Linked DNA regions of Saccharomyces cerevisiae S288C. The gene in region 3 interacts genetically with the main gene of each other region. Each region holds a gene or a part of one and is shown on either strand. Other genes may lie near its edges.

Evidence for each region. Genes that interact genetically often act in the same process or in processes that back each other up.
Region 1: mutations in PEX30 (region 3) and SEI1 impair growth when combined (synthetic growth defect), as found in Saccharomyces cerevisiae (3 studies listed by BioGRID, with this or other methods).
Region 2: mutations in PEX30 (region 3) and LDB16 together harm fitness more than expected from each alone (negative genetic interaction), as found in Saccharomyces cerevisiae (3 studies listed by BioGRID, with this or other methods).

What each region holds. Positions count from the first base shown.
Region 1 is NC_001144.5:927,240-932,310, forward strand, and holds SEI1 (seipin), read left to right. Parts: upstream 1-1,503; coding exon 1,504-2,361; downstream 2,362-5,071. Other genes in the region: zinc-coordinating transcription factor SFP1, read left to right, coding at 1-380; DUS4 (tRNA dihydrouridine synthase), read left to right, coding at 2,550-3,653; 60S ribosomal protein eL31 RPL31B, read right to left, coding at 3,826-4,110, 4,460-4,516; YLR406C-A (uncharacterized protein), read right to left, coding at 4,967-5,071. UniProt on the Saccharomyces cerevisiae protein: Involved in lipid metabolism and lipid droplet (LD) morphology, number, and size. Facilitates initiation of LD formation, and ensures that vectorial budding of LDs from the ER is directed towards the cytoplasm.
Region 2 is NC_001135.5:106,384-111,501, reverse strand, and holds LDB16 (Ldb16p), read right to left. Parts: upstream 3,482-5,118; coding exon 2,711-3,481; downstream 1-2,710. Other genes in the region: YCL002C (uncharacterized protein), read left to right, coding at 1-694; PGS1 (CDP-diacylglycerol--glycerol-3-phosphate 3-phosphatidyltransferase), read right to left, coding at 832-2,397; VMA9 (H(+)-transporting V0 sector ATPase subunit e), read right to left, coding at 4,085-4,214, 4,311-4,391, 4,469-4,479; ubiquitin-binding ESCRT-I subunit protein STP22, read left to right, coding at 4,649-5,118.
Region 3 is NC_001144.5:775,616-783,735, reverse strand, and holds PEX30 (peroxisome biogenesis protein), read right to left. Parts: upstream 4,522-8,120; coding exon 2,950-4,521; downstream 1-2,949. Other genes in the region: TMA10 (Tma10p), read left to right, coding at 349-609; YLR326W (uncharacterized protein), read right to left, coding at 840-1,562; 60S ribosomal protein eL38 RPL38, read left to right, coding at 2,357-2,593; U2-type spliceosomal complex subunit CWC24, read left to right, coding at 4,784-5,563; SFH1 (Sfh1p), read left to right, coding at 5,872-7,152; MMS22 (Mms22p), read right to left, coding at 7,432-8,120.

The DNA.
Region 1 (5,071 bases), 150 kb from region 3:
ATGGCTCCAGTTCCAATGGAAAATCAGTTCATAACAACAATTACAAGATGCCTCAGCAAGCTTATATAGACGATCCTGCGAGAAGGCTCTATGTAATGGATCATGAGGAACAAAAACCCTTTAAGTGTCCAGTTATTGGTTGTGAAAAGACTTATAAAAACCAAAACGGTTTGAAGTACCATAGGTTGCACGGACATCAGAATCAAAAATTACATGAAAACCCTGACGGTACATTTAGCGTAATAGATCCAGATTCGACAGATTCTTTTGGTGATGGAATGGGCTCTGCAAAGGATAAACCATACCGTTGTGAAGTTTGTGGTAAGAGATATAAGAACTTGAACGGTTTAAAATATCACAGGGGCCACTCCACTCACTAAGATATAATTGTTTCTTTACTGAATTGATTTAGTATGCTATTTAGATACTAATTCTACCGTTACCGACTCATGCATCGAGCGGCCGCTCTTTCTCTTGTTGTTGGGCGCAATTTATGTGATCATCTTTGAACGAAAATGCATGATAAAGCTGTGCTCTTCGACTGTTACCATTAATTTCAAAAAATAAAAAGCATATCTATTATTGAAAAATGAACTTATAATAGAATAACATTTTCTTGTTTTGTCATCATTTCCTCTAAATACTCCGTCATGAAAACGATTTGCGCTCTGTCTGGTCTCTCCTTTTAGTATTATTGTTGTGTGTTTTTTACTATTCATTTTTTACTACTGTGTTTTTACTATATATATTTTGGCTTTACTTACTTCCTTCTGTTCTGATGTATTAAAAACTATTTTTATTCTAAGAAAAGAAACTTTAATTCTTCTTATTCATGCTCTAAATCTTAAATAAAAGGTTCCGTTTTTTATCTGCAATTCTGTGTATTTGTAAGTGAATTACCATGCACGTTGTCGGATCGTTTTTCTAGGCAGAAACTATCTTATTGAACCATTAAAAGATTACTTAAATATTACAATTAATCTTACGAAGCATATTAATTAGACTGGAATTACAGCGCAACTATCACAGGTTAATAATTGGTTGAGAAAATATTATAGTTTTGTTAGTAATGTTGAACTTTTATTTTATACACTTATGAAAGTAAATTAATTCAATATCAATAATAATATACTATAAGTAACTTAAAAAGCAACCTTCCTCCCAAACCTACAATCCAATCACGCTGATAAGTATTATCTAGAAAGTTGACAACACCAAGCCATATGGTCAAGAAACATTTATTGAGAGTTATTTTGTAAATAAGACTTTTCGTCATCCATATAAAGCAACCTAATTGTTCATCTAATACTAGAGTCGCTCTTTTGAAAGTTAAGTATAACTACCTCATCATTAGTTGCTACTATGTGTATAATTTGAAAATCTCAACGTAAGGTTATTAAAAATATAAATGCGCGTAAGACAGAAAAATAGAGACAGCTTACGGCAAATTATCAAAATGTGAATCCAAGGTTTCAAGAAAATAAGATAAAGTGAATAGGAAGGATGAAAATCAATGTATCCCGTCCATTACAGTTTTTACAATGGAGTTCATATATTGTTGTTGCATTTCTGATACAATTGCTAATCATTCTTCCTTTATCGATCTTAATATATCACGATTTTTACCTAAGACTATTACCTGCCGATTCCTCTAACGTAGTCCCCCTTAATACGTTCAACATTTTAAATGGCGTACAATTTGGTACAAAATTCTTCCAATCTATTAAAAGCATTCCGGTAGGTACAGATCTGCCGCAAACAATAGACAATGGCTTATCACAGTTAATCCCCATGCGTGACAACATGGAATACAAGCTCGATCTAAACCTACAGCTTTATTGCCAGAGCAAAACTGACCATTTAAATTTAGACAATTTGTTAATTGATGTTTACAGAGGTCCAGGCCCGCTATTGGGTGCTCCTGGAGGAAGTAACAGCAAAGATGAAAAAATCTTTCACACTTCTAGACCTATTGTCTGCCTCGCACTGACGGATTCCATGTCGCCTCAGGAGATCGAACAACTAGGCCCATCACGTCTAGACGTTTACGATGAAGAATGGCTAAATACAATAAGAATAGAGGACAAAATATCGTTAGAGTCTTCATATGAAACAATCTCGGTGTTCTTGAAAACGGAGATTGCCCAAAGAAATCTAATAATACATCCAGAAAGTGGGATTAAGTTTAGGATGAATTTTGAGCAGGGATTAAGAAACTTGATGCTTCGAAAAAGATTTTTATCTTATATTATTGGCATTTCAATTTTCCATTGCATAATATGTGTACTTTTTTTTATCACAGGTTGCACTGCATTCATTTTTGTTAGAAAGGGTCAGGAAAAATCCAAGAAACATAGCTGATAGAATTGTACTTCTCGCTATATAATTTTAAAACCTAGCTGTTATTTTCTAAGTAAGTAGGCTCTTCCAGCATTCTGCTTCTTCGCCCTGAATAAAAAAAAGATGATCAGCGAAAAAACTCAAAATGAAAATAAGAGATGGATTCTTCAAAGTTATAATTCATATGCAGAATAAAGATTCTAAAGAAAATGCACACAATGCATATTCCATCCGGTGATGTTCTGATACCGAAGCCGAAGCTTATTACTGAAGAAACAGATCCACTGCATATAATAAAGACGAGGCAAAAGACACATGGTCGGCCCGTGACCATTGCAGGCCCAATGGTTCGGTATTCCAAGTTACCATTCCGTCAGTTGTGCCGAGAATATAACGTTGATATAGTTTACTCCCCCATGATTTTGGCAAGAGAATATGTCCGTAATGAGCATGCAAGAATCTCAGACCTTTCTACAAATAATGAGGACACCCCGCTAATCGTCCAAGTAGGTGTAAATAACGTGGCTGATTTACTAAAATTTGTGGAAATGGTTGCCCCATACTGTGATGGTATTGGTATTAACTGTGGTTGTCCTATAAAGGAACAAATCCGAGAGGGCATAGGTTGCGCTCTGATATACAATTCAGATTTGTTATGCAGTATGGTCCATGCTGTGAAAGATAAGTATGGCGACAAACTAAGAATTGAAACGAAAATAAGAATACATGAGGCATTGGACGAGACGGTGGAGTTATGTAGAAAGCTATGTGATGCTGGGGTAGATTGGATTACGATTCATGGCCGAACACGTAGAACTAGGTCATCGCAGCCGGCTAACCTGGATGCGATAAAATATATCATCGAGAACATCAGCGACAAAAATGTGCCTGTAATAGCGAATGGGGATTGTTTTAAGTTATCCGATTTGGAAAGAATCACCAAATACACTGGTGCACATGGTGTCATGGCTGTGCGTGGGTTGTTAAGCAATCCAGCGTTATTTGCTGGATATACTACCTGCCCTTGGGGCTGCATTGAGAAGTTTTGTTATTGGGCTCTAGAGTTTGGTGGCTTGCCTTTTCAATTGGCTCAGCACCATCTGTACTGTATGCTTGAAAATATGGAGTTGAAGAAATCTCTGTTAAAGAAAATGATGAATCTTAAAAATTACATTAGTCTGATCGACTGGTTTAATAAAACCTTTGAGTTCAAGCGTTACGGCGAGGATGGATTTGGCATGGGCGTTGAAATTCCTTATAAAGCTAATAGCTGTGTGCAGAGGAGCGCCTCAGTGGTTGAGAGACAAGAATGAATAAATTTTGAATTACAAAAATCTAATAAACTGTGGTACTGAAATTGTATATATTTTCCTATCATTCAAGAGCGTATACTCGTACCCCGAAAGCAGCTCTGTTTGTGTAATAATATAACCTAAAAGAAATAAAATGCTTATAAGATGGACATTATTTTTTTTTTTTTACAATTTAAGCATCTTCTTCAACGACAACGGTTTGTAGACCCTTAGCAGAGGCAACCAAAACTGGTTCGACGTAGGAAAACAATGGGTTCTTGGCATCTTCTTCTTCGTTTCTCTTTCTGGAGATTCTCAATCTCAATCTGTATTCAACACCCTTAACACCTCTTTTCCAGATAGCTTGGTTCAATTCTGGGGCTAGACGGACATCTTCAGTACCCATGTGTAATTTGGCGAATTTCTTGATTTCCTTCACAGCTCTTGGAGCTCTCTTTTTGAAACTGACACCATGTAGCTATATTAATATCAATTCAAGATTGGTCTGTTAGTAAAAAAAAAGTTGTTATAAGAAGGTGGAACTAAAGCATCACGCCAAAAACATCGGCCCAAGCGCCATTATAGTGTAAACGTGAGGTACGGATATCGATCGCAGAACACAGAGAAATGCAGTACCGAAGAAGAACCTTCCAGTCCTTGCATCACGCATTCCATATAATAACCTCTAATATTCCGAATTAAAACCTGGGGTCAATCATTGGAAAATGAAATTTCACCCGTATAGATTTCGCTTGGTATTTCACCACAATATCGCTTGTTGGCTTTCAATAATTTCCCACGTAAAGACAACGCTAATTTCGACATACTCTTTTGTGCAAGTTGATGGTGTATTCACGAGTGACAACGTCTTTTAAACCGGCCATTTTCAAGTACTTTGGATTATCTGCTCGTGCAATTGAAATATACTAAGACCCAAGACTATGTAAAACTAAGGAACCTATCAACAATGAGACTGGTCAAATAATAGAGTAAACATGTACATGAAGCACTACCATCAGAAAGAGCTTACAAGGTTACGAAACAACGTCAGTGCCCTCTGTCGCATTACCCTCGGTTTCGCGCCCTTCCAGTTGGCATTTGAAGTGCCAATCCAATTGTGAGCACATCCAACTAGCGTGCCCTTGCAATCCCAGAGGACACCATACAACTTCCAGCCTAGTAGTGAACTTACCAGGCGAGGAGCGCGGGCGCCAGAGGGCAGCTCATCTGCGTTCCGGCTCTAACGAGAAGGGCGGAAATGGCACCATCACCTGAAAAAGAACGTAATCTAGGCTGAGCCGCGCCTTTAAGTTTTTGTCGCATCTGGCTGCGCTTCATTTAAACGGCACTCCTAAAAAATTGTATGAGGTGATTTTTTTTGTGTACAGATGTACGGATGTACGGATGTACGGATGTATACTATGTAATAATGCACGGAT
Region 2 (5,118 bases), on a different chromosome or scaffold from region 3:
GCTTTCATATGATTTATTTCTGCTAGATTTTGTTGGTAATGGTCTGTACTTGTATTGCGCGTTGCATTATTGTTATTCATCTCTGGTGAGGGAACAACTGTCTCAAAGATTCCCACTTTTTTATCCGTTGAATGATGCCCGTAGTATACCTATATCCAGTTTCCTCATTCTAAAAGATTTTTGCGTTTCCTGTTGCTGCATGATGGTTTTAAGGCAGTTATACTATTATAGGTCAACTAAACATATTTATCAGGGCATTTCCATTACTTCCATAATAATTATAAGTGTGTTCCTTGTATTAGGCATATTTACATATGGCTGTTCCATCTCTAATTTACCGTTGAAAAATTCAGGTAAATTTGGCGTTTTCTATTTGGAACACATAAATTATTTGTGGGTAATGGCAAATCTGCTTAAATGTTTCAAGTATGTGCCTCAAATGAGTATAAACTGGATGGGATGCTCAACAGTAGGTTTATCATCAAAGTTTGCATTGATATCATTTTTGGCTGAATCTATCGATTTATTAGGTAGACTGGTAATACCGACCAATGCATTGTTTTACGAGATACCATTTAATTCAACGCCCTTTTGGGTAAAATTGATACAATTTGTCACCTTATTGGTCATACTTTGTCAAGTTCAGTATGTTTACGTAGGACGGAAACCACGGTTGCCAAAAGGAAAACTATAACAAGGTCAGCTCATTCTCTACCTTAATGGCTTTGCGATGTTTGCAAATTTAAGGAGTTTTAGATAATGCATTTATTATTACTATTTTTTCTTTTATTTTTCCATATTTACAGGCGACATACTATGATAGAATAGAATCTAAAGTTTTTTACCCAAAATGGAGGTAGCTATCTTTACACCAGTGCCAACATGTCTTTCTGGGTCTGATTGAAAGTCTTCTAGAGTTACAGGTTTTGTATATTGTAATAAATTATCTAACTCTGCTTTCATTTTTTTTCTTAGCTCTTCATCTCTTGTAATAATGAGAGCATTCGATTCCAAATCTAATGAATACGCCCTTCTCGTATAGTTTGAAGATCCTATAACCGTGATAAAGGGTTTCCAATTGTTAGCATCATTTTTATCACGAGCGGAAAGCCAAATACCTTTTGCGTGATATGACCAACCATTCGGCTTATTTACTACGCCTCTTTGCCATTCTCTTAATGTAATAGCATGATCTTGTCTGTACCTACATACATCTTGTAGAAATTTTTTTGACAGGTACAAGTAAGCACCAGGTAAATTTGATGAGACGCCCTTTGATTGGTAAAAGCCGTTTGCAAAGGGGGAAGCTGTTATTACATTTGCCTCAGCAACCGGCGTTGCCAGCAGTTTTGCTTTGATGTCTGGCAAAATATTGAAGTATCCTGCAGTGAACGTCCAAGAAATGGCATTGCTTGTTATAGTGGAAAGCAATGACAATATTGTTCTTTTTTCGGTCGATTTGTCATTATATTTGGGAAAAAGTGGAGTGAATTGAGAAATTGGGTAAACTAATGTGGAGAATTGACCCACGGCAGTAATCGGGAGGCTTTGTTTAGAACTCTTTAAAAAGCCATCTAGTAATTGAGATGCTTCCCTTAAAAACAGCCTTTTATTTTTCGTCGGTTCAACAGTAGGATTCGAATCTGGCCAAATGATGTTGATGCTACCATCCACCATTGGCTTTATAATCTGATAACTGAAGGAACTTATGAGTTGATGTAATTTAAAATAATAGTTGGAGAAGTTTCGAGATTTAAAGAGATAGTATCTATCTTGTCTGTTGGTGAAATAGTCGTTCGAAAGGTTGGCTCCCGAAAGAATGACCTCGTTATCAAACCCATATATTTTCATATGTTGTAAGCCTAAACCTTCATTAAATCTCTTGGGAACCAAGACTTTTTTCCAACCATGATAAGCAGGCGTCTTGTACAATCGGCAATCCACTCTCTCTGACCCATATTTGGCTACTAAAGACGATAATAAAGTGGCGGAACAGGCGGAAGGCAATTCTCTTGTTCCTCGAAGGCCATCAAGTAGAAAAGAAACTTTCAACTTGGGGTTCTTGGTCAATGCCTGGGATATGCAGTCCACCAACTCAGTCTCGCTTTTGCCTAAATACAGAGACGCAATGAATATTCTATTTTGTGAATTAAGTATTTTTGTCTTCAAGAGATCGTAAAACTGAGATGGAGATTCGATTATATCGATTTCTTTTGCTTGGAAATGAAAGCATGTTTGTAAATTCTGTTGTAGGGACTTAGTGATCGTGTTCAAATAATTGCCAAATGGAGAAGGGTTCGCAGCGGACATCTGCCTTTTTATATTGAAGGGTTTCTGGAGAGGTAGGGATAATAATCTGTAATGAGGACGAGTGAGTTGGAGCAAACGAGTCGTCATTAATATATGTTATCCTGAGTATGCTATTAGCAATTATGGACAAGCTGGGTGTCCTACATTATATCTACTTTCTTGTGTGGGCTGCTTTTTAGGAGTGTTCGGGCGTGAATGTGTCCATGTGCTACTGCTTTTTTATTTATGTTTTCTTCTTCACACATGGGTTACTGGCAGAAAATAAAGAAGAGAGAGGATCAATATATATATATATATGCTAAAAGATTATAATATGAAACTTATTTAAAATCAGGCAGTTAGGAACTCAACATATTTCTATCATTCACTTGTTAGTGCATGAGAAGAAGTAATTGCAATATCACCTAGAATTCCTTCGTAAAATCTTTATATTAACGATGTCCGCATCACTGGCATTTCTTCGAAGCTTAGCTCTATTAGAAAGAGACATCAAAGTTTCATTGGTGACGAATGAGTTTTGGTAAGTGTCAGACCTATCCCAAATATCAGTGGGTTCATCGTCTGTGGTGGTCGTGTTGAATGAATCATTATTATAATGCTGAATTTTTTCGTTAGTAGGCGTTTGGCAAGGGGTGATGTAGCAGTTCACATCATGCGTTATAGTCATATCATCAGCTCCAGGCTCATCATGGAATTTTTTCATGTTAGGCTTTGATATATGCGTGGGATTGGGCTTAGGCATGGGTATTGGCGCAATAGTTTGTCCTCGCATAATGTTGACAATACTAGTGGAAGCACGTTCAAGGACCGTACGTATCGGAGCAAACCACCGTTTCCATTCTAGACTTATGTATACACTGGGTACCCCGCAGATTGAGTGGAACACACCCAATATAAATCCAAAGATGAGTCCTATGATGCTGCCAAAAGCACAAAGCACAGCAAAATATTGAAACAACGTCAAAACCACATAGAAGTCTAATGTGCTTGTTTGTGCAACTAAACGGCTCAGCGACGTCCCCAGGAACAACCTCAATGGGATGTTGATAGGCAATGCCACAAGCTGAAACCCATTCCATACGAAAATTGATAAAGGCAGTTGCACGAGGGCACGGAAGAGAGGTGAAATCACTCCCATGCATAGCTGCACGCTCCAATCCACCACAAACATATTGCGGCTAGTTATATACCTGCTTTCTCCTCCTACAGTTGCTGATGAAGCCCTAAATGGTTTCTTCTTTTAGTCGTTGCTCACCCGGCAGCTCTTTAGTTTTTTTTATTTTTTTTTTTTTCTTTTGAGATTTCTCACTATAAAAAAAGAAGAAATTACTTTAAATTGTTTGTCTATTCCAACATAATCATTAGCAGCACATGTCGAGCAACAGATAAACACAGCAGCGGCACGGTGAACCACATAAGTGTATGTGCACACGCGTGTTTTGTGCAGTGTATTACCAACTTGCGCATGCAAGGATATCACACTCCTGTTTCTGCCTCATGTCTTTTAAAACGCTTCCACGGGACATGGGTTCTAATTATGGAGAAGATCAAGCTTTGAAATGGCCCGTTTACACATTTTGATACAACCGTAGACGGCGTCTCGTTTCAAAGACCGTGTGGTTGTCTATCAGTATATACTCATTGTGTTTTTCAAAAAATCTCTGGGTTGTTTAGATGCCACTATATTTCTATTCGTATTTATTTTTATGTATACTTATTTTGCTTATTTTTCTTATACTCAGGAAACGTCACTTGGCTTGATATACTCGACGCTTTATTCTGCAAATTCAGGTCTCAAATCTGAACGGCGTGGAGCCACCAAGGGATGGAGCTGGCAAAGGAACGTAATGGCCCACATCAAAAACATCATGGCCAATGTCAAAATCACTGTACTTCTCCAAACACTGTACGACAAAACAAAACAAACAAACTCTTGTTAGTAAAAAAGAAAGGGAAACTAGTAATATGGAGACACATCGTAAAAAAAATGTTGCACATACGCTTGGTTGTTCTTTGGAGCCATTATCCAGAACAGCACGGACATGGCACTAACCACTATGAATACACCAACAACAGTATAGCTAAATTGGACGCGCAGAGAGTTAGTAGAAGAAGAAGGAAGAAAAGGGAAGCGGAGAGAAGAGATTATGACACATACAAACTACTCATTACTCTTTGTTCTTTATTATTCGTTGGACCTTTGTTTCTTAAAGTATAGATAAAAGGTCAAAAAATGTAGTAGTCTTTTTTCACAGAGCGAGAATAAAAAGTTACGGCAAAATTTTGTGGGCAGTTGGTATCTTAACGGCCAAGAAAAGAGAGAGAGTGAAGAGCAACGATGTCTGCAAACGGCAAGATCTCTGTTCCCGAGGCGGTGGTCAATTGGCTGTTCAAAGTCATTCAACCCATTTATAACGACGGAAGAACAACTTTCCACGATTCTTTAGCGCTGCTGGACAATTTTCACAGTTTAAGGCCAAGAACAAGGGTATTTACGCACTCTGACGGCACTCCACAACTACTGTTGTCCATATATGGTACCATTAGTACTGGTGAGGATGGTTCATCTCCTCACAGTATTCCTGTGATCATGTGGGTACCCAGTATGTACCCGGTAAAACCTCCCTTTATAAGTATAAACTTGGAAAATTTCGACATGAACACCATCAGTAGTTCCTTGCCCATTCAAGAATACATCGACTCCAATGGGTGGATTGCGCTGCCCATACTCCACTGCTGGGATCCTGCCGCGATGAACCTTATAATGGTCGTACAAGAATTAATGAGTCTCTTACACGAGCCGCCACA
Region 3 (8,120 bases):
GAGCCACCCCCCCCTCAGGAGTAAATTTACACAAACAGTGGTGGTGCCTATGGTGGTATACGAGATAGTGATAGAAGCTGCTGGATTGGGGTAGAAATTTTGTAGGCGTTTATGGATATGGTATGGATATGGTATGGCTTGAGGTAGGTAATCCAGACACCACTGGAAATATATATAAGGAGAGAGTTCTGGCAGGTAGATTTGTACTCCTCTCTACCACTTTCTTCTACTCCTTTTATTATGTAATGTTTATTATAAGCACAGCAAAAACGTTAAATAAATCTAATAAGATTTCATTATAACATAACATTAAAGCACACAAATTTCTAACACAAACACAATTCAAACATGACCAGAACTAGCAAATGGACAGTCCACGAAGCAAAGTCTAACCCAAAGTATTTCACCCATAACGGCAACTTTGGGGAGTCTCCCAACCACGTCAAGAGAGGAGGCTATGGGAAAGGCAATTGGGGCAAGCCTGGCGATGAGATTAATGACTTAATCGATTCTGGCGAAATTAAGACAGTCTTCAACAAGACCAGAAGGGGCTCTAACTCCCAAAACAATGAAAGAAGGCTTTCTGATTTGCAACAATACCACATCTAACCGACCCGACCGGTTTGATTCCGTTAGCATATTTCAAAGAAACGGGCCTTTTAATGATTTAACGACCATATAACTTCAATAACGTGTATGCATATATAAAATGATCATGTCAAACATCCTTTATATTACTTCTTAAATACATGTTTACGATAAAAAATAAAATTTACATTATAAGTTTTTGATTGCCCATATTTGTTGATAAGAATGTAGCCTTACCGTGGCCGGTTTGTTCACCTGTAACCTCTTTGGGGGCGACCGTTAGTACTGCGCGTGTATGCTGGTGCAGGTGGAGCTGTCACAGGCGGTCTGTTATACATTTTACTATTATTTCTGTTTCCATTCACATTTTTGTTGCCACCAACTACTGGAGGTGCAGTATTGGCATTGGAATGTTTCTCATTTTCTTCTTTTTGATGCATGAGCTCCGCTTGCTTTCTTTCCAATGCCCTTTTTCCAACAAAATTGTAAACTATAGCTGCGTTTCTCGTGGAACATGCGTGCAACCATGCAAAAACACTTCCCAGAATAGGAACTAAACTAATAAGTAAATCGATAACGATATTACCATGCATCTTCACCTTGATTTCCGCAGGCAATTTATACCTGTCATCTGCCAATTCAATCAACTTATCATGCACCCAATACATCAATAAGGGTCCTATAACCGGTAGAAGTGCAAGTAATGGTGCCCATCCTATAGTGTTTGTCCAGCAACAGCATCCGCACAGTGATTTGTCATGCAGCCAGGCTTTGTTTTGGACCTTTTTCCACGCTTTACTTTCATCCTTAGTGCAATAATATGGCAGTCTGCGGCGGTGCTTTTTACCATCTTTATTCGTTTCATAAAACGGATCCCTGGTTGGCTGGAAATGCTGTTCTGCGAACTCTTGATATTGATCTTCTAAGTAATCTTGGCCTAGACCAAGCAACGTGCTCTTAATGAACCCTGACATTTGATATGGTTTCCCCCTTATTTTACTTGATGATATTGCTCCCAGCAGATCCAAGATTTATTTTCAAGTGCTCTTGTCTCACGTATACTACGACTTCTATGAAACAAATATATGAGTAGGGAACTGAACAAAAAAGCAAATTCTTCCAATGCTCTCTAGCTCGCAGTCATGTTATGATCTCATAATCACGTCCCATTCCCGGCTTCTACGCATTTTTCCACGTATTAGCGCGATTTAAAAAAAGAAAATAGAAACAAATAGCAATAAACAAAAAGAAAAGTAACGCTATTACATCCACATGTCACAACTACTTTGTGAAGTTGCAATGCGTGATTAGTATTATAAAACATCATAGCCTTGCCAAATAAACTCGCTTCCCAGAAAAGACGCCAAATTAACTGCCGCTGTTATGTGACAAAACAGGGCATCTCACATATTCGCGTACTGGTGTTCTTTTAGCTCATTCCGATATTATTCCAAGACGGAATTTTCATCTAGAGAAAATGCATCCGTGCATTTTCATAAACCCACACAATTAAAATGCCTTGCGAAAAGGAGGACTCGTCCGTGCAACTGTTGAAAAAAATAGACGGAGCATCATACGTTCGAGTGGAAAATTATGGAGAGTTTTCCAAGCTCTATGGCATGTAGAGTCGTGATTGCTGCTGTACGCTTTTGCACAATATTGAATCTTCAATCTAAAGAATTAAATTTTCTAATTTCAATGTAGAAATATTTCAACTGTTAGTTTTTTATTTCAGGTTGAATATAGTACGACAAAATATCAAGGAAAAATGGCTAGAGAAATCACCGACATCAAACAATTTTTGGAATTGACCAGAAGAGCTGACGTTAAGACCGCCACTGTTAAGATTAACAAAAAATTGAACAAGGCCGGTAAGCCATTCAGACAAACCAAGTTCAAGGTTAGAGGCTCTTCTTCTTTGTACACTTTGGTTATCAACGATGCTGGTAAGGCTAAGAAATTGATCCAATCTTTGCCACCAACTTTGAAGGTTAACAGATTATAAGAAAAATAAGGAATGATCGGAGTGTTATCATAACGAGACTGGAACAAAAAAAACTAAGAATACTTTCCCATCCGCATAAAGAATAATATCCATTTGTGTTCGTTATACAGGAAGTAGAAATAGGCTTTATAACTTTTTTTGTTTTTGTTTCCTTTTGTTTTTCTTACTACTCATAAACATATTTTTTAATTTTTAAAGTCATAACGTTGTATAGTTAATAAAAAAAATTGGATTACTATTCATTGAAGAAGAGAGTTCTATACGTTCTTTTTTAAGTTTATTTAAAGGGAGTTACCATTTGTGTAATAAAGTAAATTAGAGATTATATTATGTAAAGGTAAAAACGGGAGCGAGCATCATACGGCCTTCTTGCTATCGCGACCAATGGTTGGATTTGATTGCTCTTTCTCTTCAGTATCATCTAATACTTTTGCCAGTCGATCTCTTGCCCTAGATTTTAAAACTTCTTCATCGGTCGAGGAAATTCTTTCAAACTCGCCTTCGTTGATGTTTGATGCTTCGGCAAATTCTTTTGTCTCTTCTGTTGTAGGCTCTCCTACTTTTTTCGCATTATCTTTCTCTTGCTTGTTGCTCCCAAGCTCTTGCTCAGCGGTTAAACCATTCGTGCTGTTTTCTTCAACCTTTTGTTCAATGGCAGAATTTCTATTCGAATTTATCACGCTTTCATCAAAGTCAGAAGTTTTGACCAATTCTGCGGTTCTTACCCATCTTCTTCTTCTTGTATATTTAGAAAAGGAATCTTCTTTACTTGGTTTTTTCCAGGTATTGTCGTAATATATAAATCCCTCGTCAGGGGAGGGATCTGCGGAAGTTCTTGCCTTTGAATTGGGCACTTGAATGGCACCGTCATTAGTCATGTCTAGCCTCCATGTCTTGTCGACCCATCTCCAAACCATAGTGTTAGTCTCTTCAGGTAGATGGAAGTTTTCAGGAGAGGGAGCCTCATTCAAAAATTCATCGGTCCATGGAGTCCTCTCATAACTCAACATACTAGGCTTCCATCCAATACCTAACCAACGACGCTGGTTCTCGTACAAAACATAAGTAAAACGGATAGGCTTGGAATCGGATAATACGCCATTACTGTTTTCTGTTGATGCCAACTTTTTCACTTGCTTCTGCACTGTAGCAAAAATACCCTGGTCCTTATTTATTCCACCAAGGTCTAAACCCGTGACGTAGAAAACAAGCAGCCTGACAATCTTAAACTTCCATAAAAGCCTTCTTGCTACTTTAGACCATGGTGAGTGATACGTTAAAAGGAACATGCCCACCATCAGCATCAAGCTTCTCGGTGGTAAAAGTAGCCAGGTTATCATCACGTATATTGGAGATAATATGACCGTAGTATATAGAAGCCGTTGAATATCTTGCGTTCCAAGGTTAACCATGGGGGAGAGCAAAATATCTGACTTCAAGGATACTCTGTTCATTAAGAGAGCAATATCTTCTAATGTTGGTGAGGAGCTCAACGTACCCTCAATATAATTGTCCAATAGGGAATAACCCCACAAAATAGCAATGATGGCAAGATGTCCAAAGTACTTCACCAGCGTTTCAAAATACTCAACGGTAGTAATAAAGAGACACAGCATCAAAACACTGCTCCAAATATTCTTTCCTGTCCATGTAACAACGTTTAGGAATTCGTCAATGAGAATTAAATAAGGGTACAATTTCACCAACGCCTTTGAGATTGTGGGCGGTGTTGATGTCAAAAGCGGCGAAGTAGCTACGTTAACTTTCTCCAATGACCCGTTATCATTATCCTCAGACACCCCGCTTTCAGCTTCGTTCTTTTCCAAAGCAGCTCGTATCACTTTTGTAGTATTGCCACCAATCCTCGGTTGCAGCGTCTCTGCAAACTTGGCTCTAGTCTCATGCACGTTAGTTGTGTTACCACTCATTGAAAATCAGTTTTTACACTCCGGAGGATCAACTAGACAGCTCGAATCCTAAATTGCAACCTTGCATGCCCACTTTACCTCAGTAGCGAACGTATCCAAGTATATATTTTGTGAAGCTGATCCAAAAACCCTTTAGTCCTCTTCCCGCTTCTTTCCGTGCAACCGGAGAATAATAAGAAAAAGCCATGCGCATCTCTATCTGAAGTGGACTCAAGCTAAAGCCATCGAAAGCTCCATCACTTAATCAAAGCTCCAGGTATTCATGTTCAGAAAGAGATTAGTGAACAAAAGCTCTTCTGATGAAAAGAACCAGAAAAAGAGGCAGAAAATTAATTTTAGCGAAGAGAAACTAGTGGCCAGCGATGAAGAAAAGGGTTCCAGTGACCTCATGAGCTTAGCCAAGAGTGGAAATAGCAGGACACTTCAACTTTCACATGAGAATGAAGGTAAACTACAGAAAAAGGGTGAGGATTTAGATAAATACACTTTAACGGTCAACGACGACAGCACTAAAGAAGATCTTCTAAACTTTGAGAGAAAAGAGCTGGCTGAGAAGGCAAAGAAGAGGCGACCTAGTGATGACAATGAGCTGGTACTGAACATGAGCGGTAAAAATAAACGCCTCACTAAACAGATTAACCAACCAACGAATATCCGGACCACGGTGCTGATGGATTTTCAGCCCGACGTTTGCAAAGATTACAAACAGACGGGATACTGTGGTTACGGAGATAGCTGCAAGTTCTTACACTCGAGGGATGATTTCAAGACTGGCTGGAAGCTGAACCAAGAATGGAATGCGGATAAAGAGGACTCCAAAGCGGTTACTCTAGACTTGGAAAAGATACCGTTCAAGTGCACTCTTTGTAAGGAAGATTACAAGTCTCCAGTGGTCACAAACTGTGGCCATTATTTTTGTGGATCGTGTTTTGCCAAAGATATGAAAAAGGGCACCAAATGCTTTATATGCCACAAGGAGACCCACGGCAGTGCAAAAGTAGCATCTGACTTACAGAAGATGCTAAATAAAAGGAAAAGTTGATGGAGAATGCCATATCACCCCAAAAATTACACGCACCCGATGCTAATGTACAGGAATTATAGAGCACATGACCCATAGATTTATCGAGCATTGTTGCAATTTCGAAAGACTCTTTCACATAATAAAGTATGTAAACTATATAGATAGAAGATGTCCCGTGTCTTTTTGTCTACTAAATGATGATCTGCTCATTTAAAGTCGCCGCGACTACTTTGACAAAAAAAAAAAACTTAGAAAATACGACAAATAGAGATTATTGAATGAAGTACATTGAAAAAAGAAAGAAGAAAGGCACATAGCAGCACACAATGTCGCACCAAAACCAGCTTATTCCACAAGCTTATATTTCTAACTTTCATAACAGATTGACAAACGAAGATGATGGTATCCCCATCTTTACAATGGCTCAACAAACAAGGCAGCATAAAAGGGCTAAAGTGGTCAACTATGCGGAATATGACAACGATCTCTTTGATGAATTCAATATGAACGGTTCTAATTTCAACAATGCTGATACACACTATAAAGATAATGCAGTGTCTCATGAAAATACTCCGGCACTTACAAATGGTGTTACCATGGACGGTTCCGAATACAATGTCCTAGAGAACATGAATGGAGCTGATAGTATTATCTCTAACAACAAATACGATGCGGGTTCAAACATGGTTGTGGAATCTTTATCCGGTTTGAATAGCAATAACAACGCCAGCAATGGTCCGAGCAACAAAGCGCAGGCACAGGATATTGGAAACGCCGTTCTACCGGATCTGCAAGACCAACACCACAACCCCTTCAACATATTGAGATACCCTAAAATAAGAGATACTTTCATTAACGGAAAAGTGGTGTCTCCATATAGACTCAACACTGATCAAGAAACGAAGGCAAACGCCAATTCTGGAGAGGCAATCATGATACCAATTACTTTGGATATAGAACATATGGGTCATACCATAAAAGACCAGTTTCTCTGGAACTACAATGACGACTCCATATCTCCGGAGGAATTTGCCTCTATATACTGTAAAGATCTTGATATGACTTCCGCTACCTTACAAACTCAAATTGCGAATATAATAAAAGAGCAGTTGAAAGACCTCGAAAATATTGCAGCCACTGAGATAATGTCTGACCTCCACGTGATAATCAACCTAACCTGCAACTTACAAGACAGATTTTTTGAAGATAACTTCCAGTGGAACTTGAACGACAAATCACTTACTCCAGAAAGATTTGCTACATCCATTGTACAGGACCTTGGCTTAACAAGAGAGTTCATCCCCTTAATATCTCAATCGCTTCATGAAACTATCTTGAAGATAAAGAAGGACTGGGTAGATGGCCACTTGATTCAGGACCATGTCCCAAACGATGCCGCATTTGGGTACTTATCTGGTATAAGGCTGGATATTGATGAACTGGGCTCCAATTGGTGCCCAAGGGTGGAAATATTAACAAAAGAAGAAATACAAAAGAGAGAAATTGAAAAAGAAAGAAACTTAAGAAGATTGAAAAGAGAAACTGATAGATTATCTAGAAGGGGCAGGAGAAGATTAGATGACTTAGAAACCACAATGAGAATGTAGTAACTTTGCTTTTCTTGTTACAGAATTGTATTATTATAAGTATTATTAATCAAACGGGAAGGACAAAAAATTTAACAAACGCAGAAGCAACTAAATCAAGACTAAAGAGAACGTAAAAAAAGTCATGCACTTCTTTGAGATACACGTTACCAAAAGAATACAAAATGTTTATCACCAACACTGATAGATCTTGTTTCTATTTGGACTAATTCGCAATTTGACATATATGACATATATTACGGAGAATTTTTAAATATGCTTATATTACATGTGTATAATTTACGTATTCTTGAAGGTTTTGAAAGGTTCAGACGCCTCAATTTTTCCTATATTACTTTCTATTATCTTTATTACAATCGCAGATAGCGAACTTTGCAAAGTAGTATGAGGAATCTGATTAGGTATGTTCATATTACTATCAAGCATCCTTAGCTGCAAAAGTTTGTCATGCTCCCAAAACCCATCTGCGATTCTCAACACAGATACCAAAAACGCATCTTTTGCGGCGATCAAATCACTATTACTATTAAAGGTGTCGTCTGTTGCGCACTCAATACATAACGCCCTGTATACTTTGCAAAGTTCAGCAAATTCATCAGGAGATACCTGCTCGAATTTCATTTTTAAAACCTTGTTGAAAAGGTCTATGAAGTGAGATAGAAGAAAATTCTTGATATTCACGTCGAAAAAAGGTCTGTTCTCAAATATGTGTGCTATCACCAGGTCAGAAAAAAATGCAAAAGGGCTCTCTAACATGGTGGAGGTGAATAAAGTGCTTAAATTGTCAAGATATCCATCAATTTCATTCCCAGTGCAACAGGCTTGAACAATACCGGTTTCAACAAATGCAGCTTTGGAAAGTATATCACCTGCTTCATTGAATGAGTCCCAGAACGCACATTTTTCGTCTTCATCACTTGAAATACCAAGTTCCCTTCTTAGACTGATGAAGAGTTGATTATTTCTTA